Linked DNA regions of Coturnix japonica. The protein of the gene in region 7 interacts with the protein of the main gene of each other region in a pairwise test. Links are inferred from orthologs where the notes say so. Each region holds a gene or a part of one and is shown on either strand. Other genes may lie near its edges. The genes, in order: ZC2HC1C, zinc finger protein 436-like, UBASH3A, ABI2, PDLIM1, CWF19L2 and GFAP.

What was found.
Region 1: the proteins of GFAP (region 7) and ZC2HC1C interact in binary tests that used the Homo sapiens proteins (3 or more experiments, as listed by UniProt). The link is inferred for Coturnix japonica from reciprocal best matches to the Homo sapiens genes GFAP and ZC2HC1C.
Region 2: the proteins of GFAP (region 7) and zinc finger protein 436-like interact in a two-hybrid assay, tested with the Homo sapiens proteins (2 studies listed by BioGRID and IntAct). The link is inferred for Coturnix japonica from reciprocal best matches to the Homo sapiens genes GFAP and ZNF774.
Region 3: the proteins of GFAP (region 7) and UBASH3A interact in binary tests that used the Homo sapiens proteins (3 or more experiments, as listed by UniProt). The link is inferred for Coturnix japonica from reciprocal best matches to the Homo sapiens genes GFAP and UBASH3A.
Region 4: the proteins of GFAP (region 7) and ABI2 interact in binary tests that used the Homo sapiens proteins (3 or more experiments, as listed by UniProt). The link is inferred for Coturnix japonica from reciprocal best matches to the Homo sapiens genes GFAP and ABI2.
Region 5: the proteins of GFAP (region 7) and PDLIM1 interact in binary tests that used the Homo sapiens proteins (3 or more experiments, as listed by UniProt). The link is inferred for Coturnix japonica from reciprocal best matches to the Homo sapiens genes GFAP and PDLIM1.
Region 6: the proteins of GFAP (region 7) and CWF19L2 interact in binary tests that used the Homo sapiens proteins (3 or more experiments, as listed by UniProt). The link is inferred for Coturnix japonica from reciprocal best matches to the Homo sapiens genes GFAP and CWF19L2.

What each region holds. Positions count from the first base shown.
Region 1 is NC_029520.1:34,611,042-34,614,821, forward strand, and holds the end of ZC2HC1C (zinc finger C2HC domain-containing protein 1C), read left to right. Parts: intron 1-433; coding exon 434-697; 3' UTR 698-2,679; downstream 2,680-3,780.
Region 2 is NW_015439867.1:519,107-523,904, reverse strand, and holds the start of zinc finger protein 436-like, read right to left. Parts: upstream 3,326-4,798; 5' UTR 3,228-3,325; intron 2,987-3,227; 5' UTR 2,967-2,986; coding exon 2,903-2,966; intron 2,075-2,902; coding exon 1,507-2,074; intron 1-1,506.
Region 3 is NC_029516.1:98,572,146-98,577,058, reverse strand, and holds the start of UBASH3A (ubiquitin-associated and SH3 domain-containing protein A), read right to left. Parts: upstream 3,157-4,913; 5' UTR 3,131-3,156; coding exon 3,018-3,130; intron 1-3,017. UniProt on the Homo sapiens protein: Interferes with CBL-mediated down-regulation and degradation of receptor-type tyrosine kinases. Promotes accumulation of activated target receptors, such as T-cell receptors, EGFR and PDGFRB, on the cell surface.
Region 4 is NC_029522.1:11,947,470-11,951,826, forward strand, and holds part of ABI2 (abl interactor 2), read right to left. Parts: intron 3,437-4,357; coding exon 3,257-3,436; intron 2,605-3,256; coding exon 2,446-2,604; intron 1-2,445. UniProt on the Homo sapiens protein: Regulator of actin cytoskeleton dynamics underlying cell motility and adhesion. Functions as a component of the WAVE complex, which activates actin nucleating machinery Arp2/3 to drive lamellipodia formation.
Region 5 is NC_029521.1:13,996,879-14,000,542, forward strand, and holds part of PDLIM1 (PDZ and LIM domain protein 1), read left to right. Parts: intron 1-757; coding exon 758-912; intron 913-3,664. UniProt on the Homo sapiens protein: Cytoskeletal protein that may act as an adapter that brings other proteins (like kinases) to the cytoskeleton. Involved in assembly, disassembly and directioning of stress fibers in fibroblasts.
Region 6 is NC_029516.1:161,585,948-161,589,591, reverse strand, and holds part of CWF19L2 (CWF19-like protein 2), read right to left. Parts: intron 2,887-3,644; coding exon 2,731-2,886; intron 1,754-2,730; coding exon 1,673-1,753; intron 1-1,672.
Region 7 is NC_029542.1:785,140-788,168, reverse strand, and holds the end of GFAP (glial fibrillary acidic protein), read left to right. Parts: intron 1-19; coding exon 20-63; intron 64-722; coding exon 723-808; intron 809-959; coding exon 960-1,001; 3' UTR 1,002-2,070; downstream 2,071-3,029. Other genes in the region: Ig-like V-type domain-containing protein FAM187A, read right to left, coding at 2,894-3,029.

The DNA.
Region 1 (3,780 bases), on a different chromosome or scaffold from region 7:
TGGGGAAATGACTGAAAAAACAGGTAATAAAATGGACTAGCAATCTGAGGGCAGTGGAAACATGCACGTCTGTTCCTTCAGAGGAGCTTCAGCATCTAGATCTCTCAGTCTAGTGGTTAGCAGCCTTGCATACGGCATGGGAGTTAGAGCTCAATTATCTTTAAGGTCCCTTCTAACCTGAGCCATTCAGTGATTTCCTTGGTGCTACTGCCTGCTTCTTGTTCATTCTCAAGCTCTTTTCTAAGCAGTGATGTTTGCATCAGTAACTCCATCAAACCCTCCTTGGTGCTTGGTGGGATTCAGCTTCCCTGGGAGGTTTTACATCAACTAAGAGTGCTCAGGGAGAGGTGTCTAGAATTGGACCCTGAGAGCAAGGCTGAGGATGGAGGCTGGCAGCGGTGCCTGCAGCTCTGACTGCATTTCCCTTCTGCAGAATAAGCCACCCAGAAGGAACAACTGGAAGCAGAACCATGAGGCTTTCATCCAGACCCTGCGCCACGCTCGACAGGTGCAACAAGTACTGTCCAAGGGAGGGAAGGTGTCTGACCTGCCTCCGCTCCCTCCCATTGAAAATCCAGACTACACTGCCTGCCCCTACTGCAGGCGCCGCTTTGCACCCCAAGTAGCTGAGACACACATTCCCAAATGCAAGAACATCAAGAATAGACCCTCATTCCCCCCACAGAGGAAACGCTGATAAGGCAGCTTTCTTTGTTCTCAACACTGGCTGTGAGTGTTGAGCAAGATTTACAGTAAGTAAACAGTTCAGGACATATAAGCAGAATATAAAAGTTTCTGTACTTAAATCTGTGTGCTGGATTGTGATGCCCTTCTGAGGGCTGCCTTCTCTACCTCTTCTCATTTCCTACCAGCAGAAGAGTGTAATGTACTACCATTGAGAAATCCAGGCATAAAAAATGATGGTGTTATTCAATTAGGAGAATTTGAGGCTACATTATTAAATACTTTTTCAACACATAAACCTCAGCTCAGAAATTCATGGGGGGTAGAAGAACCAGCAGCAGCAGCACTTACTGTGCAGGTCCGTATGTCAATTCACATACATAGGACAGCAGAGATGCTCTGTACTGGCCAGGCCCTTCAGGCAGCAGAACAGCCATGTCAAAGTGATTACATACTATGTACAATAACCGGGACTTGGACTTGGGAAAGAGGAGAAGAAAAACATTCAATTAAAGAATAATGCCACACAAGATCAAAAAATAGGCCATGAATAAGCTTAGACTGGAAATTAGTTTTCTAATCAGAAGAGTGAGGTCATGGAAAAATCTTCCAACTAGGTTAGCAGAGGCAAGGAACCTACATTGTTTCAGGATGGACTTTTGAGAAGATCACGGAGGGGACTGTACTGCAGGAGTAAGAAACAAATGCTCCGTGTCACAGTTCTTCATTTCCATCTTCAGGCTCATGATAAAAAGTGCAAATAACAACCAGCGATAGTACTGTACTTCAGTGCATCACTTTCAGGAGCTGAGAAGGAATTTCCACAGCCACCTCCCCTTGATTCCTAACATAGCTTCTATTTACTTTCCACCTAAAACATTCAAGAACAGCTACAGCTAGAAACCAATACAGTAATAAAATAACCAAGCAGTACATTAAGGAACTTCACAACAGGCAGTGCAACAGGTAAATCAACAACTAGATTTAATATCAAAAAGATGGAGTTTACTTGCAGGTCAAGGTAATAGGGACCTCTGAAACAGGGCTTTAACCCTTCTTTAAGTCATCTATTTTGTTTCCATTTTGTATGCTGCAATTGTAGGTGATCGTGACAAAAATCTGCCCCTTCTTGGGTGAGGTGCAAGGGAGTTGTTGGTTATTTTGGCCTTATGCTGAAGGGCTTTGTTTGTCACAAACTATTAAAGGGTCTTTGGGGGGGAATAGATGTCCTACAGACTTGGAGAAGGGCATCTGCTCCAAAGTGGTAACAGTTGCTGCATATTTGTCTTTTTTTTTCCAGATTCTGATTTTCAGACTAGTCTAATATTAGCCTATTTCTGTTTTGTAAAAAGTTGTTTTAAATGGTCACAGAGTGTTTTTTGTTCTCAAAGTAAGAACGACTACTTTGTATGAGAAAGTTGCAACAGGAAGCAAACAAGGAACAAAAAAAGTTCCAGCAGCTCCTTTTGCAAATCCTTCAGCAATGCAGCGCCAGCTCCTCACAGGAGCCTGAGGGAAAAAGAAAACAACAAGAACAGATAAAAAGCAACCAGATTGAACTGGATTAGTAAAAACCTGAATCTGAAGGAACTCCCCAGCCTGCAATGGGTGGACCAGACTCCTGAAAGAAGTTGGAGTGCTTCTGACCTATAGACATGTGGGCAGAGATCCCAATCCTGTGGCACACCCTAGAAAAACACGAAGGTCCCAGAAAGGGTCAGTACTGCACTGTCAGCCAGGTATGTATAAGAATGTGCAAACCCAGAGAAGAGAGAAAAACAGACTCAAAACAAGGGAAAAGACTTCACTGTATCCAAACCGACTGGAAAATAAGAGCAATGCTTTAACTTCAGAACTTATTAACATAGGGTGATAAGAGGATAGCAAGAGGTGACAAGAAAAGGGGTAAGAAAGGAATAAACTGAAAGCTGTATTCCCACAGTCTTGAATTAATGAAAATGCTACTGAATTAAAAAGTAGTTAAGAAATTCAGTACCACTGACTGTCTTGTAGTATTGATTCCATTTTCCTTGCAGTATGTTTTTTCTTATTGTTTAGTGGATCCTAAAAGTCAACAAATGGTCACTGGGGTAGATAGATACAAAAGCTTTTGATACGGTAAAATAAATCAACTGGGGACTTTCCTTAAGTAACAGGCAAGGAGCTGATGCTGGAATTGAAACTGTAGATTAAGCAAAAGTAGCTATTGAAATTAAATCACTAGACTTCATTATGTTTGTTTCAGAGCTAGCCTTGAGCGCTTCACCCTGTTTTGCTGAGCTAATTTCTCAGGTAACGTAAGACAGCAGAGATTTGCCCTGCTGTTTTGCTGTCACAGTTAGGGTTACCCAAGCTGTGTTACTCCATCTGGCTCAGCTTCCTCTACCATGGTACGATCCCACTCTCAGAGACATGCTGCATTTTCACTTTCTGATTCTTGACTGAACGTGAAGTTTCTGACCCAGCTCTGCCTCTCCAGGCATTTCACAACTTACAGAAATCCCCAATAAAATGCTTAGAGGTGACAGGCATTAAGTACATCGTGCAGGAGCAGTTTGCTGAGCTGATACCAGTCAGGTTTTCACCTCCATAGACTTAATGCTCAGTTAAAGCTGTTCAAGAGAAACAGGTGCTTCTTCCCTGTGAACCTTTCTCTTCCTGTTACTCATTTCCCACTTGGCATTAAAACTGTTGAAAAGCCACACACACAAAAGGGCCCCTGACGTCACCAGGAGATACAGCAATAAAAGGGCCTTTTTTTTTGCTCCTAAGAATCAGAAAACATGACACTTTTTCCCATAGCAAGGAACCTGTAAGTCCTCAGGTCCCCTTTCCAGGACATAGAAGAAAAAAAACATATCAAACAACATGATGCCTCTGATAACATATGTATGTTTCCCCTTACTCTTCTGCAAAAAGAAGTCAGAACACGAGCAAACGAGTTTAAACATTTATTTAAACAGAAACTCCAAACCACTCCACCCTTTAACCTTTCAAAAAAAGACAACGACAAACTAGTTTTCAGCCAGAGTGTCAGAGCAGGCAAAAGTTGTGTTCCACTATAACAACTCAGTAGCAATACTAGCAGGAGACCGA
Region 2 (4,798 bases), on a different chromosome or scaffold from region 7:
CATCGCTTACCTCTGGGGATCGCAGCACGGCTGGAAAAGGGGGAGGGGGAGCTGGAATTGGGGTGGGGGGGGCGAGCGTTTTTGGGGCGTTTTCCAGCGGTTTCAGGGCTTCGGGGGAAGGCGGCGGCGAAGCGGCGGTGGCGGCGATGGGGGGGGGGAAAAAAACGGGAGGGGGGCGTTGGGGGGGGCCGCCGGAACAAGGAAAGATCTAGGCGCAGACCCGGACCCCCCCCGGCCCCGGGGAGAGGCGGGCGGATGCGGCGGGGCCGGGAGATGAAGGGGGGGGGCACGAGGCGGGTGGGGGGGGGGCAGCTGCTCATATCCCCGACCCCTCGCAGTCATTGGGCAGAGAATACCGCTGCCCCTCTCCCCCCCCCCCCGGCATTTTTCCACATTTATTTATTTATAATTTATTTCTCCAAAGCTGCCATAGGCTGAGAGTTGAGGTTTCTTTCCCTTTTCCCTCTTATTGTTATTTCTTTTTCTAGGGGCTGCCGCACCGTTTTGGATGGGGATGGGGGAAAAACACGCAGCCCTTCCCCCCAGCCCCACGTTCCAGCTTTGTGTAACGGCTCCGGATCTGACCCCAAGCACTTCCCCGTCCCATTAATTCGTGGCTGGAAATGATGCAATGAGGGCAGCGCCTGCTGAGCACTCAGCGAGGCCTTAATCCCCTCCTGACCCGGGGCCCTATGTCCCCATCCTATCCCCATCCCCATCCCACCCCCATCCCTATTTGATCCCATCCCATCCCCATCCCATCTCTATTTGATCCCATCCCATCCCCACCCTATCCCCATCCCTATTTGAGCCCATCCTGTCCACATCCCCATCCCTATCTGAGCCCATCCCATTCTCATCCCCATTGAATCCCTGAGCCCATCCCATTCTCATCCCCATCCCATCCCTATTTGAGCCCATCCCATTCTCATCCCCATCCCATCCCTATTTGAGCCCATCCCATTCTCAACCCCATCCCATCCCTACTTGAGCCCATCCCATCCCCATCCCTACTTGAGCCCATGCCATCCTCATCCTTATTCTCATCCTCATCCCCATCCTGTCCCATCCCCATCCCTAAACCCAACCCATATCATCCCCACCCAATTCCCATCCCAAACCCATTCCACTCCATCCCCATCCCGCAATGCCAGCCACACATGCAGGCTCATGCCAACCAGTGCAGGTGTTATTCCTGCCAGCACCACACTCTAACTGGGAGAACTGGAAAATCCATCCCTACTGATCCATCCCATACAAAGCGCAGCCCCATCAGCTGCCCTACAGCACGACCCCGGCCGGGCAGTGCAGCTCCAGCACCTTTTATTGCTTTGGGCTGTAGATCCCACCACCCTCATTGCGCTCCATGACCCCATCCCACTTTCCACCCATCAGCTTTTGGGGTCTCTGGGTGATGGGCTGAGCACCCCACAGTCCCCATGCTGGGAACACAGATAAAGGGACCGGGACCAACGCTGCTCCCCACCCATAAAGCCACGTCCCCACTATGTTGAGTGCAGCTTCTGGTGCCGGCGCAGCTGGGATTTGTGGCGAAACCCCTCCCCACACTCCACGCAGATATAGGGCTTCTCGTCGCTGTGGGTCCGTCGGTGCCGGTTGAGGTGTGAGCTGCGGCTGAAGCACTTCCCGCAGTCCGGGCAGGAATAGGGTTTCTCTCCGGTGTGGGTCCGCTGGTGCTGGATGAGCGCCGAGCTCTCGCTGAAGCGCTTCCCGCAGGTCCCACAGCTGTAGGGTTTCTCCCCGGTGTGGATGCGTTGGTGGGTGACCAGGTTGGAGTTCTGGCTGAAGCCCTTCCCGCAGGCCCCACAAGTGTAGGGCTTCTCCCCGGTGTGGGTGATGCGGTGTCTCACCAGGTCTGAGCTGCGGCTGAAGCCCTTCCCACACTCCCCGCAGATGGTGGGGCGCAGGCGTCCGCCCCGTAACCCCAACAGCTCCTCCAGTGGCCCCATAGCATGTGGGTGCCCCAAAGCTCTGCCATGGGGCTGCGCTGCTGCTGCTGCTGCTTTGCGACGCCTCTTTGCAGGGCGAGCTGGTGCCTCACTGCCAGGATGGGCTGCAAGGAGAGCACGGCTGGGCTCCGAGATGTGGGGCTGTGACTCCTTCACCCCTTCCCCATCCCCTTCATGCCTCCTTTGTCCCCTTTACACCTTCTTCGTCCCCTTTGTGCCTTTCCCACCCCTTCTGAGCCTTCCCTGTTCCCTTTGCTCCTTCTCTGTGCCCTTTGCATCCCCTCCATCCCTACTCCCCCATTTCCATCACCCTCTCCATGTCCTCTTCCCCTTCTCTATCCCCTTTGCACTGTCCCAATCCCTTTTCCACCCCATTTCCATCCCCCCTCTCCCCATCACCTCCACCACCTCTGCCCCCTCTCCATCCCTTTTCCATCCCCTCCACCTGCATTTCCCCACTCTTATCCCACTCTTCATCCCCTTTGTGCTTTTCCCACCCCCTCTGCTCCATCCCTGTTCCTTTTCCACCCCCTCCCCCCTTCTTTCCCCTTCTCCATCCTCCCCACCCCAATTCCCAATTCCTCCACTCCATTCCCATCCCTTTATCCACATTTTCTCCACCCCCTCTGCCCCTTCCTCATCCCCTCCCTGCTTTGGGGACACCCCCGCACCCTAACATTGGTTAGGGTCCCCACTCTGTGAGACATCCTCACTTTATGGGATCAGGGCATCTTCCCGCTGTGCTATTGAGATACTGCCATATTATGGGATGCGGGCACCCGCCGGCACCGGGACACTCCCACACTGTGTGATCAGAGCACTCCAGGACCCCCACCCCAAGATCGGGTCAACCCCTCACCCCCACGCGTGGGACCCCCCCTCAGCTTCCCGGCCCGGTCCTGGTGGGGGGATGACGGGGTGGGGGGGCTCACCTGTGGCAGCGCCTTCAGAGTCCCGAGGGGGGTCCGGGCCGGAGGGCCCCCCCTCTGCGTCCATCACGCTCCGACGGGAAAACGCTGTTGGGGGGCGGAGAGCGGCGGGGGTGGATAAAACAAAGCAAAGAAATTGGGTGAGACGGAGGGGGGGGGGGTTACAAACACCGGCCGCGGCACCAGGACCCCCCCCCGCCCTCCCGCACTCGCACCGCAGCTTTGCCCCCTCCCCTCCCCTCCCCGAGCTCATCGGGGCTGGCAGTGGGGGCTGCAGTGATGGCGCAGCTCTTGTCCCCCTCCCCCCCCCCAAACAAATACAACCCACCCGCGGTGGGGATGGGGACGGGACCCCCCCCGGCCGGGGGTTGCGGGGGACCCCGGCGCGCGGCCCCGCGTGGTGCTGGGGGGGGGGGGGGGCGGTTGATTTCAGAGGGGGTTATGGGGAATTGGAGCCCCCCCAAACACACCGTTTTGTGTGTGGGATGGAGGGGGCACAGGGGGGTCCTTTCTGCCCCCATCCATGTTTACAGCTGGTGGGGCTGAGAGGGGAGGGGGCGGGGGGGGGGGCGGCACGGGGGCATCCCAGCACTTCCCACCACATCCCATTATATCCCAGTATGTCCCAATGCACCCAGCACTTCCCATTGCATCCCATTATATCCCAGTATGTCCCTGTGCACCCAGAACTTCAAGTGCATCCCATTGCATCCCAGTACGTCCCAGTGCACCCAGCGCTTTCCATTGCATCCCATTATATCCCAGTACATCCCAGTGCACCCATTACATCCCATTGCATCCCATTATATCCCAGTGCACCAAGCACTTTCCATTGCATCCCATTATATCCCAGTACATCCCAGAGCACCCAGCACTTCCATTGCATCCCACTGCATCCCATTATATCACAGCACTTCCCATTGCATCCCATTATATCCCAGTACGTCCCAATGCACCCAGCACTTCCCATTGCATCCCACTGCATCCCATTATATCCCAGTATGTTTCAGTGCACCCAGCACTTTCCATTACATCCCATAGCATCCCCCTGTAACCTATTGCATCCCAGTACATCCCAGTACATCCCATTACATCCCATTGCATCCCATTACATCCCATTACATCCCATTACATCCCATTACATCCCATTACATCCCATTGCATCCCATTGCATCCCATTGCATCCCATTACATCCCATTGCATCCCATTGCATCCCATTACATCCCATTACATCCCATTACACCCCATTACATCCCATTACATCCCATTACACCCCATTACACCCCATTACATCCCATTACACCCCATTACACCCCACGGTTGCTCGCTGTCCGGGTGCCCCCCGGTTGCCCCCATCTGTTGCTCTGCCCCACTCTGCCCTGCAGTAATGGCGATACTGGAGTTCACTGGTGTGAACTGGTCCCAGTGTCACCCAGCACAGGGACAACAACGTCACCCCACAGGTGACACCCGGTGTTACCCCAATCCCCAGCCCCACGGGGACATGGTGTCACCCCTATGGGAACACGGGGACACCCCGGTGTCACCCTATAGGAACACAGGGACACCCCGGTGTCACCCTATAGGAACACGGGGACACTCCGGTGTCACCCCATACTCAGACCCGCTGTCACCCACCGCCCAGCGCCGCCCCGCACCCCCGAACCCCCCCATTGGGGCCCCCGGCACCCGCTGGGAGAGCAGAGGGAGCGCTGATTGGTGGAGAGCCGGCTGGGGGGCGGGGATTACGCGGGGCGGCGCCTGGCGATTGGAGGAACTCGGATCGTGGGGGCGGGGCTGATGAGAAGGCGGGGCTTATCGGGGCTCCGCGCGCTGATTGGTCGAGAGGGTAGAGGAGAGAGGTTAGGAGTCCGCCGCGCATGCGCGCCTTCTTTCGC
Region 3 (4,913 bases), on a different chromosome or scaffold from region 7:
CACTTCTTGAATTCCAGCTTCTTGGGTCTGTGACCACTGCCCAGAGCAGCCCATTCCATGCCCACCAACCTCTGGTGAAGAACCTTTTCCCAACCTCCAACCCTGTTTCAGTTCCCACAGGTTCTATCGCTGGTCACCAGAGAGGAGAATAGCTAGAGTTTTCAAAATGCCATTGACATCCTTTACGTGACAGAGTCTTTGTGAGCAAATACTGAGTTCTTGAAGGCTGAAGGGTTCACAGTGTTTCATCTCCAGCCCTGCAATCCACCTGTAAACTTCTCAAAAGTGACATGAAAGGGAATGAGAGGTAGTAGAAATGGAAGAAAAACTGCCAAATTACTCCACATCTGCTTATCCTTCCTTCTTTCTTAAGGTTATCTTTTCTGACAGCTGTGTCCTGAGGGCATCCATTTGCTTAACCCAGTCCTCACATTTTTATCCTCCCTCCATCCGTATGGCACCTATGCATGTACTAGAGTGCCATAGGTGCGTTAAGGAGCAAGTCTTAATCTTGCTGTGGTTGCTTCTTCCCAGACTTTTCCTTCTAATGTAAAACTACACATGGGTCTGTTAAAAACAATTAAATATACATGTGTGCATGTGCAACCATACTTGGCTTCTTAGTGGAGGATCAGCACAGCTGAAGACTAACTCGAGTCTTTCCGCTCAAGCTCTACCTTCTACCTTTCTCCTCTCTAAAATTAAAATTGACTACCATGGCCAAATCAATCCCCAAAGCATGAACTAGTTGATCAAAAGTGGCCCTGTTTCCTCTGTGACCTGCATCGCCTCTCTGCTGACTCTTCTCTTCTCTATCACATCAAACATGAACAATTTGTGTTTTCATTGTGCTCCCCATGCAGCCTTTATTGTCATACCCTGCTGGAATGTAAATGATTACTTCTGCTTGGCCAGAACTTTGTCACCTACTGCTACAATTCACTGTGAGTGTTTTATCACTTTATGCCATGCCACCCCTCCCATTTGGAGACAAGCTTTTTGTAAACAGCCCCAAAGACAAGCAGAGCTTGACAGCAGTTTTTCTTTACATAAACTCTGTGCGATCGTAAAAGTAATAAGACAATTGGAGACCTGGGGCCACGGCCTGTCATGATGCTCAGCATCATCTCCTTGCTCCCCCACGCTCCTCTCTGTGTCTGTTTCCATCTTTCATCCCATCATATAAAGTTGGTATTAGGATGCTGTCCAGCAGGGTTTCTCAGCCCTCAGTGTTATTAAAACATTAGGCTGTAATTAGACATCCTGCGCTTCCAAGATGAGCAGCGGAGGTTAAAAGATAATGCATACGATAAATCCTGTACATGCCTAATTCGTTCAGATAAACTGTAGGAATAAATCTTTTTAAATCTGCATTCAAAATAATATATTTACAGGGAGAACAAGCTGGTTCTTCCTTAAGGCAGAAAACAGCGATCACATTTCAGTTCTATCAGAGCATGAGATATTCATTATGCTCATCTGCTGGTAGGCTCTATCATCAAGTTTTAGTGTTTTGTACTTTCTGAAAATGTTGCTTTTGCATGATTGTCCAACATTATGAAGCATTTCATAATGTAAATAATAAATAAAAATAAATATTTTCAACAAGGCTTACTTTTCATAGGCCAGGATGTCACAAAAGAGCAAATTTTCAGAACTTTCTTTTATGTCGGAGGCCAAGACCTACGGAAACAGCTAAAAAGCTTTATAAACTACAGTCCAATTTTTAGATGTGTTAAAGTCTGTAAAGACAAACAAACAAATAAATAAAGTGCTTTTGGACTTTCTACCATTTTATGTTGCATTGCGCTTTGCTGTGTCTTGATTTTGGCCTGGAAAGCACAAAGCCACGTCAATTACCGAAGAAAATGTTTTGAAGGCAGTTTGAAGAACATAACATACAGAATAGAAACTAGACTTTATTTTGGGGTGACCATACTTATACTATCTACTAGAAAAACAACAAGGCAGATTTTAAGCTCCACAGCTAAAATTCCACTGGGCATAACCAGGAATAAGGAACCCACAGCTTCCCTGTAAACTGTGCGCATCACATCTAAAGATGCTTCACTAAGCATCAGTTGTTCCCAAAAAACAGAGCCTGATCAGCTTGCTTAATTTTCAGTCTAGAATGGAGTTTACAGTGATAATTATGTCCTTTTTCAAACACTTGTTTAAGAACTTCTTTGACACTTCAGTGGAAGGACTTATTTTCTTCAGTCTTAAGTCAATGGCACAACTGGCTGCCACCACAGAGTCCAAACAGTCCAAATTCCCTTCAGAAATTTATTGACGCTCTGTAAAACCTCCAGGCCTCTCTTACTGACCAGAGCCATATCTGGGGAAAGAGCTGACCTCAAGTAACTGATTATTTACTAGTTTTTATTAACTGAGTTTTTATTAACTCAATTGGAACTGCTGCCACCAGTTCATCCTACCTCAGATGGAGCTGCCAAGGACAGGGCTTGACATTTTCCTGGTAGGACATACTTTTGAAACAAGATTCATTTTTAGGACAGAAAGACTAATGTGGCATCTTGTTAAGGAAAGCTTACCCTTTTAAAACAGTCTCCTGTGACAAAACCGAGACAGAACTTTTGTTTGCCAGGCCTGAAAAAATATTTGTATAGAAGCCACATCCACATTTAGTTTCCTTGTAATAACAGTGTTAAGTAGAAAAAAAAAAAAAAAAAAGAAAGGATTCATCCCTAGAGTGAACTATGGATATCAACTTCTTAACTCATTGTGAAGCCTCTCAAATTCCGGGTGCAGAAGACCATGTGCTTTCAGATACCCAGAGTAGTTTTAGAAATGGGTACAGAACAAGTTGTTTCAGCAGTAAGATCAATACACAGTGCTCTACAAGGTATTCAAAGTGAGACAGACCTGCTCCTCCTGTGGAGATATCTCCCCCAAGAAGCGGCACGTTCTCTTGATGGAAAACGCAAGCTGTATGCATTTAAGCAGATGCAAGAACCACCTTTCAATGTACAAAAGCAACTGAAAACATTACTCACGCGATGTGAGCTGGGAATCCTTTGGCCAGGAGAGACTCGAGGAGTGCAGATGGGCTTTTGCTCCTGCGTTTGTTGGACACCTTTGCATACAGCTGTGTCTCAGCCACCGCCATCTCCTCCTCTCTCCCTCTAGCTATGCGCAGTGCTGACAGAAATTAGGAGGGGGAGGGGGGAGGGGGCAAGAAAATGAGAGAGAAAGAGAAAGAGGCAGCTAAAAGAAAAAAAGAAAAAAAAAGAAAAAAAAAAAAGAAAAAAACCCCTCAAACTTCTTGTGATCTATTCTGACAAAAGATCATCCTGACATCCTGTTTTCGTAACCTGTGTGTCTTTGAGTTTTTGTTTTAAAGTAGTTAAAAAAGCAAAAGTATCTGCAGGCTGTTCCCATCTGCCCTAGCAGAACAAGATGTGTTGTCCAAGTGAAAATTTTAGAGTCAGGGTGGACCTGCTGAACAGTCTGAGACTGGATCTCCTAGCTCTTCATTTTAAATTCTCTTCTCGAAGCCAAGAAATCCATCTGAACTTCTACTGGAGAGGGAAAGGACTTCCTGCACCATATAAGAAGTTGTTTTGTAGGCTGAACTCGTTCTTCTTGGGCTCAACATTCATATTCTCCAGTTCAGCTGTACTTGGACACCCTTGTGGCCACAGCCATAGTCCACCAGCTGACCAACTGTACAAGGACAAACCAGGCTCCCCATCTAGACACAATGCCCTGGGTCTGAGCTTGGAGCAGTTCTGAGAGGCAGCTCAGTGAGGCCTGTGCTTTCTGGTAGTGCTGTCCTACTAATGGAGAATTCAAAAAGTGGATATGGCCTATCGTTGGGACTCCAAGGGTGGTCAGAGCAGGCAAAATGGCAGAGACAGCTTTCCCTGGCCTTGGCTATCCTTGCTGAGGGTACCCTGTCACCCAGGAAGGATGGGAATGAAAGGGTCTCTACAGCTGCTGGTCTCAAGAAAAAAGCCATTACTATCTCCTTGGCTGAAGTTCCCCTTGGGGCACCTCAGCAGTCTGGGCTGCCTCTCCCAGTCTTTACCTCTGAAGCCTGGTGAGGAGAGCATTTGAGCAATGCAAATGGCACAGGATGGATGTGAGCAGTGAACGAGAAAACTGTGCTCTGTCCTTTCTAAGTGCCAGCTTCCATCCCACATGGTGAAGGGACTGACTGTTTTCTCTCACTGCAGGAAGACACAGAGAAGTATTTTCATGGAAAACCATTTCTTCCACGGTCTCTAAGGAAGTCTTGTTTCACTTACACTACCATGACCTTTTACTTCATCTCTCTTCCTCCTTTTTCCCTCCACTCTCCCTTCAGCATCATCTCTCTATTTACTGAAAAACTGCAAGCCAAATTAGGACTACTTCTAAGTATTTTACAAAGCTGAACATAAGTTTTCATTTTCTAAGCCCAGACTGAAAAGAAGCTGATACAACACTCTCAATACAGGCACACTGTTTTCAGGAATGAGTTACTACTGTTTGAAAAATATTCCCAAAAGGTTGTACAATGCTTGATTATGGAAGTTATCCACAATTAACATATGTGTTGTTATTGCTGTTGTTTTCCCAGAACCCCTGTTTAAATGTGCTGTTTGCTATGAGCATACAGCAAAGGGTAAGGAAGTGAAGAAGGAGCATCATCCAAGGTCCCAATATGACAACACAAAGAAACACTTGGGTCTCTTCCTGCTGCCACTCAGGGCTGTAGGCAGACTCCTTCACTGCACAGTTTTTGATAAAAGATGAGCAAGCACAAGCCCGCGTGGTTTAACTTCGGTGGTATTTCTTTGCCTGGAAGGTTACAGAAAGGTTTGCAAATACTGCAATATTACTTTACGCTCTTAGGATGATTAAAACGTGTGCTGACTTTTTATCTCCCCCTTTCCGTAGCCATGCCA
Region 4 (4,357 bases), on a different chromosome or scaffold from region 7:
AAATCCACTTGATTAGATAAGTGAGCTTATTCTCTAAGTACAAAAAACTAGTTAATTCTAGTTAACAAAACTGGAGTCTCACCATGTAAGGATAATGCAAGACAATTCTTTTTTTCAAGAAAGTTCTTGGAATATTTTCCAGAAAGCACACCTCAGGAAAAGCACAACCATGTCATTTCTTGGTAGCGTGGCATACGCAGACATTTAATCATGTCCAAGAGAATAGCGGGGAGAAAAATAAATCTACACTTCATGTACCAGTACGTTTATTTACCTTACTGATGTGAGCTAATTAAATTTCAGTCTAATCCCAGAGCTACAGTGCGTGACTGAGCATTTTTCAGAATTAATACCCCTCATCACAGCAAATGGGGGAAAAAAAAAAGCCCAAGTTACTTTAAATTCACATCTCAAAATACAGTGTTTGCTCATTTTAGCAATTATTTTCACAAGCACTTTGAATTTCTTCTGCCAATCACATTCACCTTCTTTTTTCTACCACACATCACAAACAAAACAAAATAAACACAGAAACCAAAATGGAGTAACCATTGCTTTGTTAAGAGTATCCACATACCTCCATATAAAGCAGGCTCCATTACCTCACCACTTAACTGGTATTTCTTGGGAAACCTTAATATACATTTCTAATTACAGCTTCTTTGATTTGAGTGAGGTGACCTTGGAGAGAATACATTTCTTCAGGAGTAACCACAACTTCTGGGAAAAGACCTGGTCTTGCATTTCCCAAAGAGGAAAAGGGAACTTGAATTTGAAGCACTATTGAAATGCAACAGCATTCAGGAATGCAGTGTTCCTGTCCAGCTATGAAGTCACCACCTTTTTAATTACATATACTATAAAAATACTTAGTTTCAAAATGTTTCCCTTATTCAAAATCACTTGAAATCATACGCTTCCTGTGTACCATATGAGACTACCTTTGGTCTCCCGGGTCCCTTCTGTGCATGTTGTGTACTGCATGTAAGTCCTTGAAGGAGATAACAAGGCCTTCCAGGTAGAAAGACAAATCACTCTAGACAAGCACTCTAGGCAAACACAACAAAAACCCCTTTGTTGTGCTTGGATCACAGAGTTTAATCAAAATGGTGATGTTAACACTAGCTGACATCATTCTTTGTTTTATCTTAACCATAATCATTACCTTCCTTTTGAGTCCTCAGACTGACCTTCATTTACACAATTTAAATAAAGTCTATTTGGTAACTTTATTATTACCTGCAATGGCATTATATATGCTGTCTAAAATTGCATATGTGTCTGGATGCAGTGAAAATTCTCTATACTGCAAAAAGCAATGTTGAAATGTTTCCTTTATAGCTGTTTTCCCTTCCTTCCTATTTATTCCCCTTCAAAATTCAACATGCGTATAACGTGCCTAACAAATACCATGTATTTCACGCAACAGAGCTGCAATTCACTCATACAAACTCCTGTACCCTCTCTGTCCCCAGCAGAACCACCTGCTTCTTTCTCAAGTTAATCACGTGCATCTCTTCACAGTCTGACTCACAAGCAGTAATATTTGGACCTGACCAGATCCCTTAAACTCAAACTGCAGCAATTAACCTAATTCCTAATTCAATGCTTCATGTAAAACAACAAAGCCAAACAGATGATCAACAAAAGTACCCACACAGTAGCACTACAGTGTTTCAAATCAACTTTCAGACTTGACTTTGCTGACAAGGAACTTTCACTGTGTCCCTTGCATCCCTTGCATTTTCTTACAAAGCATTGTAGCTTTGTAAGAAAAGTCGTCCCTTAGTGTCACATCAATACTTTCACTTCTCCTCAGAAGCTCAGGGAGGACAGCAGAGATGAACAGCTGCTGAATTCCCCAACATACACGACAACACTGCTTGTTAAAATCTCAACCTGCTTTTGAGCACAGGTCATCCATTAGAATAACATCACATATGGAACTTCACAAGGGACATAGCTCCCCTGCACTCTGTACCAAACACCACTGATGTCTAAAATCTCTAACACTTACCGCTATATAGGAAGAACAATTTACTGAACTGGTGGTTAATCACAAGGAAAAAGCACACAAGCACACAGACTGATTAATGAAGAATCAGTGTTTTGCTGCAAAACCAAATACTTATTCCACACCAAAGCAGCTACATTATACACATAGTGTAGTAAAGGACTGAAGGGTGTCCAACAGATCCTGCAAATCCTGGGAGATCAAAAGTAATCTATCTGACAACAAGAGCCAAATTGTCCTGAGCTGTGTGCCATAATGACAGCTGCATGCTCTGTGCTCACACCTCCACTTCAGCACGGCTACCAGCAACGTACAGGAAGTTACCTCAGACTGGCTGCAAGAGCTGGAGACAAAATGTAGGATTTCAGAGATCTGAAAGTCAGTCAATTCAACCCTGCGTTGCATTCATCACAGCAGATAACCTTTCTTACCTGGGTTCTGGTTATAAAAAGGTCCTCCATTTATCTGGTTCTGAAGGCTCGTCTGTGACGTGATTGAAGGAGGACGCCGATATGGCAGGGATCCTCCTATTGTTGGTGGCGTATGTCGAGACGCAGGCCTGTTCATGCTGTAGAACTGAACTGGGTGGCCTGGGTTAGAAAAAGAAATGTGTTACCAAGGGAAGGATTATGCCTGTTATTTTTTTTTAGCTCCACTCAGAATTCAAAGGCTAGGAAACATCTCTGTTCTTTTACAGACAATCCACATCCTATAAGCAGTCAGCTCAGCTACCGGACTGTCAGAGCACTGCGTGTCTCAACAGCAATACAAAAAAAACCAAACTCCTCCAACTGCCTGTAATCATCACTAATCACACATACAAAAAAGAAAATGCAAAGGTACATATGCCATAAAGTGAAAGAAAATCACTTTCATTTATCCATTTTATGAAACTTATTATAATAACTGAATTTATAAGAAGTTCTCATTTATAAACCTGCAAAAAATATCACTTTGCACTCCAGCTGTCAAGCAACACAACATGTACAAACTGTTTGCTCTTATTCACAGAAAAACACAATGCTAAATATCTTGTTGCTGCTCCTGAAATATACAGAGAATCATCTGGGGAGAAGAGAACGTTATAAACCACTTGAATGGATGGGATAAATGAAATCATACTCAAAGACCTGTTTTTCAGGAGTTACCAATTGAAGCAACTCCTTGAAAATTTGCTCTGTAAAGCCTCAGACCGTGATCACATCTGGGCCCATCTGCCCACACAAGGGAGCAGACACTCACCTGTAGAGGCCGTGGAAGAAACAGCAGGGGGAGTTGGAGAGGTGAAGCCATCAGCAAGGGGCTGGGCTCCTGCAGCAGCAGCAGCATCTGGGGTAGAGGAGGAAGGGGCTGGAGCAGGAGGGGTGGGGGCAGGAGCAGAGGTAGAAGGAAGGGGAGAAGTGCCAGATGAGCCAGCGGGGGCTAGGTGAAGAGAGGAGGAAGAGGTGGCGTTAATAGGGAGATATGTTAGCAAGGATTATTGAAAGCCTTTGACTATTCAGTGTTAGCTACTTACTAGATGCATAGTATTTTAGAATGCACAAGGAGATGAGGGAAAAATGAAGCTACTAAAGAAAGACTCATTCTTACGTAGACAGTTTCATGAGGGTCAAGCAAACCTGCTGCTTCTTTCCAGGTCTGAAGGTAACAACCTAGAACCTTCCAGTGAGAGCCATTACTTTTGAAAGATGTCTTTAATCTTTGTTATTTAGGCTGTAATCTGTAGCATAGCTGCATTGAGTTTTTGTACAAATATACAGAAGAAGAAAGACAAAAGTGCTCCTTTGGTTCAAAAACATCATGTATTTCAGATCACACTGCAAGCCAAAACTATATGCTCTTTTTCACCGAAAGTGCTGAACAAGGAGCACTAACATCACTTCCTATTTCTGGGAAGACAGGTGTAGTTACAGTAAACGAGCACTTTTTTATGACAACTCAGCTAGGCTTGCACTGTGTATTTAAGGATTTACTCTCTGCCTGCCTCTCTTTTAATCCAACTGTCTAAAAGCAAGCTGCTATAGATCTGCATGAACAGTCAATGAAAATGCATCAATTTGCTTAAAAGGGATAAATTTCTCCCTGCCCACCAAAAAAGATACTGTGTTCTATCTGGTTTCATGCAGGCAGCCAGGCAAAAAACATTTGTAAATCAAGTAACGCATAAAATGAACTCTGCAGTACCTCAGACACTCTCAAAAAAAATATTACTCTATTCAAATTAACGCTACCAATAGCAAGCAATTTTCAATGACTGCATGCTTCTGGAAAATGAATTCTGAGGTTCCTCATGGGACTTCCTCCTCAAGTCTGCAAATTTTAAAGGTAATGCTGAAACAGGAA
Region 5 (3,664 bases), on a different chromosome or scaffold from region 7:
TTGTCAGTGTTTGCCTCGTTTTTCCATAGATGCTTTAATCTAGTCACAGAGGCAGCAGCACCTCAGAAGGCAGCTAAAGTGAGGGCTCAGCCTTAGGAGGCAGAAATCTCTCTGCCTCTGAGGTGCTCATTAACCCCACTGAAATGATGTAAATGGGCACTGGCTCTGGGTCCTTAGATAGGGGATGAATGGACATAATGTCCACTTGAAAAGCAGAGAACTATTTCCAATCAGAGGATCCTTTACCTGGCTCCTACAGCTGCTACTGTGTGAAGGTGGCTTTTATGACCACTTCATAACACACTTGCAAAGATGCGTATTTTTAAAGGAATAAAGCTTACTGAATTTGAGAGTCATGGCAGTGTAAGGTAGCAGTCTCAGGTGGTTTAGGTGTGTTGGGACCATGCAGTGTTGGCAAAGCTACTGTATGGGACTCCTATCCCAGCACGTGTTCTTTATTGTCCTGGTTCTGGATGAAGCAGCAATTGGGAAGCAGACGAAATGTGCTGAGGCTGGCCAGGGGTGGTGAGTGAGAATCCGATGACAGCAGGGCATGTGGGTGGCCCAGCGCCTCAGTCCCACTGGGGCTGCAGCTGTCTTCTGCAAGCACATCCGGCACCTCTGTCTCATGGCATCCTGTTCTGCCTTTGTTTGCACGTTCTTCTCTCAGTCACGTGATGCATTGCCATAGTTTTGCTAGAGGGACTTGCTGTAGTGTTTAGCCGTTTAATAGTTGCGTGTTGTCTTCCTTCCTCAGTTTAGATCAGCATGGCCATCCCTCAGGCAGCATTGCCATAGACAGAGACTCTGAGGTTTACAAGATGCTCCAGGAGAACCAAGAGTCGCACGAGCCACCCAGACAGTCTGCTTCCTTCCTAGTGCTGCAGGAGATTTTGGAGTCAGAGGAGAAAGGTAAGCCTGCCTGTGCGCCCTTCCTTTCAGCCTTTCCTTGGGCTGTGTATGGTGTCTCAGAGTAATGTCTCAAACTTTGTTTTCCTTCCTTAGCTGTTGCTTCTTCCAAGGTATTATGTGTAGGTGCCTTCCACAAAAACTGTAGTCCCTTTCACCGACTTTACTCTTATATTTCTTCAGCTAGTTTCGACGTCTATGGATACATATTGTTACTCATTTGATGACCAAATGGTGAAGAAATAAAAGCCTACTACATTTAGTTCTTAAGAAGTAATTCTAAAAGTTGCAAAAGCCTTCCGGACTGTCTCAAGTTTTGCCCCTATTGGAAAATATTCACCCATTTAAGGACCATCTTAGATTTATGATAACAGGTAACACAAGGTCTTGCCCCTTAGTGAGTCTTAATGCTCCCAGGTACCATCCTTCTATGGGAGGAAAAAGGGTCCCCTTCTGCAACTGAATCTAAAAACTTAGAAGCGATCAGTTTGCAGTTCTAAACCTGTGAAAACTTTGTGCTGCTTGGCACACAATCTGCCATCTGGACAGTGTGTAGATCAAGGCTATAGACTTCTAGATAAAAAACTCTGATTAACTTAGGTGGGAGCCAAATCACACTCCCTTCTGCCTTTAAATAGAGTAAAATAAACAAATAATTAGGAAAAGAATTCCAGGAATGACTTTTTTTTTTTTTTCCTCCCCTCTTAAACCGGTTGAGACTTCATCTGTGGTGTTATTGGCTTGCAGTGAAGCATTCAACTTCATCCAACAAAAGCATGGTGCTGAGATATCAGAAAGGAAAACTGCTCAGCCAAATGCTGTTAGACCTAAGTGATCTGTAAGGGAACAGTAAAATGAAGGAAGTAAGGAAACAAAAGGAAGAAAGAAAACAGGATTTTTGAGTCTTTAATCTACTGTTAAAATTCCTATCTGAAAGCATCTTAATAATGAGTGTTTGCAGCTTACCCCTCAGGGTTCAGCTCCTGCATGGAAGGGACTGGAGGAGCCAGGACTTCTCACGCATCTGAGGTCCTCCCCTGTGTTTAGTAGTGCTGAAGAAGATAAGAAGCAAAAGCCTCTCTAGTTTATCGTTCTTTGAAGATTTGCAGCATTACTGGGATTCTCTGGCACGAGGTTTGCCTGCTTGATCACAGGCCAGGATAGACTTGGGCATTGCTCTGCCGTGGGCTGTAATCACCCATGCAGAGCAAGGTTACACAGCCCTAGAGGATATGGTGCCCTGGCTCACACACTACTACTGCTCCTGGCTGAGATAGCATCCTTGGCAATAAGTGGCACCTTTTGTGGGATGTTCCTCTGAGCTTGTCTTCAGGCATTGGCTTGTGAGCAGCAGCAGGGAGCCGTCATCTCCCCAGCCAGGGCCAGTCCTTGGGGCATTGCCAGAGGCATGGACTGTGCTGATCCACACCAGCTGGAAGGATGGGGTCTGTGTGTGGGTGCTGGTGTGGGGAAGCATGATGGCTGCTCTCTGTTTAGATTTGAGCCTGCTTGCTGAGGCTTGTGGTGTTTCAGAGAGTGGAACAAGTTATGTTTCCTTGGGCGTTCTGTTAAGCTGATTCCTTTAGAGATTTAAAAATGTGCTGTCAGTGTTACTGATGTGAACAAAGTGCTGTTCAAAGCAGAAAAGGCAAGCAGGGGGATAGGGTAGAGCCTGAAAACATAGCTGCTGCTTCCTTCTCAGCAAGGGGATGCTGCCAGTGATGGGGACAGCAGCCAGGTGCCTCCTGGTGTGATTGAAGGGCCCATGGGTTTTTGTCTCCTGTAAGGCATCTCTCAGCACTGAGCTGGTGCAAGCCTCAGAGCCAAATGCCACTGTGTAGGAAAAACTGCTTTAAGCTCAACCTGGGGTGCACTGTTTGTGGCTGTGTAAAGCAGTGTGGTGGCACTCAGGCTGGGTGGCAGTGGGGTGAGCAGTGCCCCAGCTTTTTTCCTTGTTTCTCTGCCAGTGGTGCTGCCCTGGGCTGTGAAATGTCTCAGACCTTGCTGTTCACTGGGGTGAGCCGCTCCCAGGGTCCTTCTTCCACTCAAAAGGATCAGTGGGTGTACTTTGTTGGCTTGGTAATAGTCAGAAGGGTTTTGTGCCACCTCAATGTGGGGAGCTGACATGTCTGCTTACCAGCCTCCCTCTGGTCCTGTTCTGAATCTGTATCCCTTCTTCCCCTCTTACCTGGTACAGGCAAAAGTCAGATAGATAATGCTAGTTGTACCAATGGTATCATTTTATTAGTTGCTTCCTTTTCACTGCAAATATTAAAAGGCTTGCCTCCTATCCAGTGTCTAGGATCCACTACTTTTGTAGGCATCCAGATGTCTCCTTTGAAGGTCCTGCAATTGGGAAGTTCTGTCATCCCTGGAGTGGGCCACATGCCTTGTATCCCTGCAACAAGGAGTTTGTTAACCAAATCCTTCAGGAGCTGTGAGGGGAGCACAACACCGTACACCAGACAGCAGAAAGGAAAAGGCTTTGACAGCCTTATTGACTGCTGGGACACCCACTTCCTCTTTCTGAACCCAAATCTAGCCAACAGCTTGACCTTGAGTGTGCACTCAGGGCACGGCAAGCAGGATCTGATGCATCTGAGGCTGTGACTTTGCTTTTGCTTTGAATCTCTGTGCATGTGAGATGTATTAGCCAATATCTGATGGGCCTTTAAGATGAGAAAAGGGCAGTATCTCATCTTACGGCCCACCATCTCAGGCCCTGGGTTTCTGGAGCCAGGCCCAGCTGTGTCCC
Region 6 (3,644 bases), on a different chromosome or scaffold from region 7:
CCACAAACAGGAAAAAAAGGACTGCCAGATGGCAGAACCTGGAGGACACCACTACAAATCAGGGAGGGATGGAAACAAGGAAAGAGCTGGACCACAGAATGCACACTGAGCAAATGCCTTTCTGAGTCCACAGCTTTGAATTATATGGGATGAGTACTAATTTTAAGCACATTTATTAAAAATAAGGTGACACGCTGTAAGAGGAAGTGGTTACTCAGAGGAGACACTGATAGTCTTCATGAAGGAGGGGGAAGACAAGCACCTCTACAGAGAATACATTATTGGAAAACCCAACTAGATGAAGGAAATTATGATTAACTGCCAAAGTGGATAATTTCACAATCTGCTTATAATTTGTTCCTGTACAGTAAGGTTTACAAAGCCTCAAACTCATACGTATCTTCTCTGCTACAGCTAAAGTAACTGAAAACTTTCATTCAGTGTTCCTTATATTGCTTGTGGATGGATTTTCTTCAGAGCAGCCCAAACGAAGCAACGTTTTGGACTGGTAACTAGGCCAGTATACACCATAATAATATACCAGTGTTTATTTATTGCTGAAGAGTGCTTGCTCCTCAGTCAGCTGTCCCAGCTGTGCCCCCTCCCAGCCCACTGCTTGCCCCTGAATTTGTTTATTGGAAGGTCAAGAGTAAGAAACAGAAAGGCTTTGATACCATGCAAGAGCATTGGCTGCTCAGGCTCGTGTGCTAGGGTTCCGCCCCTAGAATCCCAATTTCTGCACACAATCAGACCATTAAATGTCACAGTCATGTCTGCTTCTCATTCCACACACCACCACTTCATAGTACAACCCTCTATTTCCCTCAGGTCAGACCCTAAATTGTACTTCAATATTTTCTTGAAGGCATTTATTTTGTTTTTTATCCTAAAATTATGTTAAAGTTAGAGAACTGTGAAACACTTTACACACAGATGCAGTTTATTAATTTAAAGAAGAGCCCTGAATTAATTTGAGAAGTGATCTACCTTCAAATGGGTATATAAAACAATTATAAAATCATATGGTTCATTAAAAAAAAAAAAAAAAAAAAAAAAAAGATGTCCCGATGCTCTATCACAAGACAAGAAAATTATACTTTGTTTTATTGAGACAGGTGTTGGCTTTCCCTATTATGAAAGGCCAAGAAGCAGAAGAAACCCAAAGTATATCTATGGACCAATTTTTGAACTTAACAGTTTTAGCATTATTCCTTCAAGATTTATATGAAAAAAACATTTCCTTTGTTTTAGAAATAAAGATTTATAGCACTATTTGCATCTTCACTTCATAAACTTAGCAACACCAAAGGCTGTTCCAGGTCAATGCAAAAGATACATCATATTCTTTCCCAGACAGCAATTTGTAGATCTTTGATCTATCTTAATTCTTAAAGTTAATCAAGAAAATTATGCTGGTACATGTACTCAAAATGCCAGCTTTGTTCTCAAGCAATGTTTGCAGCTCAGTTCATCTGTTGTTGAAATAAATGGGAATCTTTTCTAACATCAATTATGAGTTCAGTCAGACTCCAATGCTCATCACGTCTATGCCATCTCCCGATCCACTAATTTAATTGCGCTCCTTTTCTTCTCTCTTTGAAACAGTTAATAACTTAAATAGATTAAAGCAATTTGCTGAAAATTTCAGTGTTCAATACATTTCATTACTTACAGATTTCCGAACATCTTTTGAAGAGAGATCAATTATCTTCTTGTTCATGGACCACTCTTCATCAGACTCCATTATAGCTTTCTGTAAAATCATTTATCCAAATGAGAAGATAGGCCTTCGTACAGCAAAGAACTCACTTTCCAATGGAGTAAAGCAAACTTTGCACTGCAAGTATGAGCTATTTCTTAACAAAGTAATTTTATTTTTGGTAATCTTTCTGATTTCGAGAACTTAGATACTTTATAGAGGAACCATTTAATATCTTGGAACTCACTTAATTCTATTCCTTTTTTTTTTTTTTTTTCCCCCGGAATCTTTCTTTAGCCTGACAAGCTATCTCTAACAAGAAACTTTCAAATTATTAGGGAGTAAAAGGTCTCAATTTCTTTTTACTGAGCTCATAATAAACTTGTTCTGATTTCATTATGCCATATTAGTCTTTTTTTTTTTTTTATCTTTTATCTTTCTTTCCCTTTTTCATTTTTGAACTCCAAAAGGAAAATCCAAATTAGACGTCTGATTGCACTCAAAGACTTGTAAAGCTGACTCTGCATCTATCATAGTATGGAAGTGTAGGTACCTTCTTATTTTTCATTTACTGTGTATTTTAATGGTGGAAAATTTCTGAACACAAATGACATTGTGTTTCACCTTTCTGCTAGTTTTCAAAGAAAATACTTAATGCACTTAAAACATAGCCAATGAAATCAGCCACGTGGAGAGTTACAAATGTGCCATAAAAGTTATTGCACTGCTATTCATCACACTGACATCCACTTCATTAAAACAATTATATTATTTATTTTCAGAGAATATTTTCAAAGAACAAATAAAATAATTTACTCATAAATACTGAAGTATGTGCACTCATTCAAATTTACCCTTCAAAAACCTTCTTTTCCAGATACTAAATCAATACATTTGCTCAAAGATCAATAAACATTTCTTCACCAGAAAAAAAAATTACCTATTCAAAACTGGCACTTCAATATAAGAAAACTTTTCCAGAAATACTATAAGTTAAATGCATTCAAATGACCTAAAGCTTTTTCATATACCTTAAAGTAGATTGGAGCCATATCTCCTACTTCTTTTGGAAGAGGAATGCATTCGTATACCATGTGATATCGTTTCTTCATACTCATATTTGTTTCCATAAAGACACAGTCCAAGCCTTTAGCCTCAAACATTTTCACCAGTGCTGTTCTAAACATCTGTTAAAAGAAAAAGAATGAATAATGTGAATTAGCTTTTCAAAGCTTCCAGATAAAATATATTATTTCACTAATAGATATAAAATTCCTTAGAAAATCATAATAAAATGGAACAAAGCAGGCAGAACTGAACTTGGCGAGGGATGTGAAAAACAATAAGAAAACCTTCTACAGGTACATTGGCCCAGAAGAGACAGGCCAAAATGGGCGACCTACTCTGGTAAATTTAAAAAGAGAATGGCTTCAACAGATGAAGAGAAAGCTGAGGTGCTGAATGATGCTTCACCTCGGTCTTCACTGGTGGCCAGGATTCTAGTCTTTTTCACTCCCTAAGTCTTGCACCCCATACCTTCCATGTGGGGACCAAGGAGGGTAAATCCGCTCCCCACTGTAAGGGCAGGAGCAAGTCCGAGAGTGCCTCCTTAGGACTGAATGAGTATAGTCTATGGGGCCAGATGGCGTGCATCCCAGGGTCCTGAAGGAGCTGGCTGAGGTGAGTTGCTGAGCCGCTCTCCATCCATATTTGAGAAGTCGTGGCTGTCAGGGTGAGGTCCCGGATGATTGGAGGAAGAGGTCACGTCACTCCCATTTACAAGAAAGGAGCAGGGACGACCCGGGTAACTACAGGCCGGTGAGTCTCACCCTCGTGTGCCTGGGAAGATTATGGAACAGGATCCTCCTGGACAACATGCTTGATCGCATAAAGAACAAGCATGTGATCCGAGACAGCCACCAATGGCTTCTCCAGGGGAAGGTCA
Region 7 (3,029 bases):
GTTCCCATTGCTCCCGCAGGATCACCGTCCCTGTGCAGAGCTTCTCCAACCTGCAGATCCGAGGTGAGGCTGCGGCTGTGTGGGATGGGGGCAGGGGGGGCTGCCAGGTCTCTGTGCCTGAAGGGTCCCCCACAGTCCCAAGATATAGAGGGGATGAGCACGATGCCATGGCCACGTCCCCAGTGCCGACCATTCCCCAAGGGTCAACCCTGTTGCTGAGGCCAATGATGTCTCTAAGGCCAACCTCAACAATGAGGGTAATTGTGTTCTGAGTGCCAACTGTGCGCCCATCACCAGCTGTGTCCCCAGTACTGCCCTCATACTCAGTGTTGACCACAGCTCAGTGCCCACCATTCCCCCAAGCACGATGCTGTCCCTAAGGCCAACCACATCTCAAAGCAACCCATGTCACCAAGGCCAACACCACTGATGAAGCCAATCATATCCCCAGTGCCAACTGTGTCCCCAAGACCAGCCACATTCTGAAGCCAGACACATCCTCAGTGCCACCTTCATACCTAAGGTCACAACCCAGTCTCCAGCCACAAGGTCCCCAACCACAACCCAGTGCCAGCATTCCTCCTGAGGCCTATAGCGTTCACTCCCACAGATCAGGATTTTCCAGCCCAACTAGTTCCTTTTGGGACCCTTCAAGGTGTATGGGGTGGAGGGGTCATATATGGGGCACTGGGTCACCAACCTGTCCCATCCATGTCTCCTAGAAACAAGCCTGGACACCAAATCTGTGTCAGAAGCTCATTTGAAGAGAAGCATTGTGGTCAAAACAGTGGAGACAAGAGATGGAGAGGTGGGAAGTCTTCAACTGCGCCTTCCACACCCTTTCCCCTCCATCCTCAAGGTGTCCCCAAGGGGGGATGTTTGTCATGTGCACGGGCTCTGTCCCCAGACATGTTTAGATGGACTTGATGGGGTGACAGTCCCTCTCCTTCTGCTTCCAGGTGATCAAGGAGTCCAAGCAGGAGCACAAGGAGGTGGTGTAGAGTGTGTGATTCATAGCCACGCTTGTAGCTGTAGCTCCATAGATCCCACCCGATGCTGCGATGGAGCCCTGTGGTGGGGCCACAGCCACAGGAGAAACCCACCCTCACCTCTCCCACCACCCCATGCCCCAGGGACTCCTGTGCTGGTCTGGCCAGGGCTGAGATCTGGGGGCATTGCTCCACACTTCCCACCTTGCTGGTGCAGGAGACCACCTTGAGCATCCCAACCATGTCCTGAGCATCCCTGGGAGGGCTGGGGGGAACACAGCACCGCATGGTCAGGGATGTTTTCCTGTTGCCAAGCAGCAGTTGGGCTTAGCCAAGGCAGGAGGAAGAGGAGGATGGAGCATATGGGGAGGCAGGTCGATGTTGGGATGGGGAGAAGGGTGATGGTGTGGGGTCTGAGCAGGGTGCCTGGGGGTACAGAGTGGTTGTGGGGCTGGAGCAGCAATGGGCACAGCAGGGTGGGAGTCTTTGTTGGCTTTTCCAGGGCACGGTGCCATGGGACTGTTCTGACCCTAATGGTGTGTCCCCCACCACGGTGCTCCTATCTCCAGAGATGCAGAGACAGTCAGGGGGCTCATGGCCCGAGCCCAGCTCTGCACAGGCATTCTCGAGGGGCTGGAAGAAATCTTGTCCCTCAGCTCCACGTGGCCCTGTCTCCTGTGCTCTCTCCCAGTGCATGTCACCCACCTGGGGCCCCTGCAGACCCAATACTCACTTTGTTTTAGCCACTGACCATGAGCTAAACGTGCCCTGCTGCCACCTAATGCAGCAGCACCCACTCACCAGCAATCCCCTTGCCCTATAACGTGAGCCCATAGGTTGCTACATGGGTACTGCCTCCTCACCCTGCTTATCTCCACATCCTCTAGCTCAGCACAGAGCTTTGCAGCTCCTAATTCCACAGGGACTGTTCCCAGGGCAGGATGTGTTATAGAGTGATAGTGCTGCGGGTCACTTTGTCCCCCATGAGCTGGATGGAGCTTTGCAGCCCTTATTGCTACTGGATTAATGCCCTAATGTTGCAACAACACGAGATGCGAAATAAAGCCTAACACAAGTGCTATGTCTGTGGTTGTGACTGTAACCTGCAGGACAAGCTGCAGGGCGGTGTGTTTTTGGGATCAGCCGGGGCAGAGCTGATCAGAGCATACCCCCAGCTGGAAGGGGGACGTGGATCAGAGCCCAGCTCCTGGCTCTGCACAGCTCCACCCAAACCTGTACCCAAACCCTATGTCTCAGAGTGGTGTCCCAATGCTCCTTGAGCTCCAGCCCACCACGTTGTGGTGCAGAAAGAAAATAAAAATGCATAAACTCAGCTTCTTAAAAATGAGATTGCTCCAGCTGAGGATCTTGCACAAACATTGAGTGTCTTGAAATGTTGGTGCCCTTTGGGGCACAGTTGGCACCAGGAATAGGAGGGTCCTTGTCACTGCTGTTGGCCTTAGTGGGCAGCTTTGGGCTGCAGTTGGCCTTGAGGAACACATTTGGCACTGGGGATATGACTGGCACTTTTTAAAAGGTAAGGGAAGCCAGAATTAATTGGAGTAGAACAGTCTGGAGGATTACAGTGGCCTCTTAGAAAAACAGCCCTAATAAATCACCGACATGGCAGAAGAACTCCATGGTGTTTAGCCAGAAAACACTGCAACGACTCCAGCTATTCATTCAAACAGGATTACTGAGGTTAAAACCCCACCACAAGCCTTCAGTGTGGCCAGGAAGTGACACAGTGGTGGCAAATCCCTGCCACAGCGCAATGGGACTTTCCACTTTGGTCTTCATCACAGCACAACCCCGAGTGGAGGATAAGAGGGCACGAGCAGCATTTCTAGTGGTGAAAACCATAAATTGCCCATAAGGGAATGGTGCAAGGTGTAAGACTGATGCTATGTCCTCGCTGAGGACCGCAGCATCCGCCAGCAGCAGCGGCTCAAGTGGATGCTGAAGAAGATGGCCCCAATGAGGATGTAGCTCACACTGATGGCCTTGAGGATGTAGATGGTCTCGGGGTCAGTAAGCTTG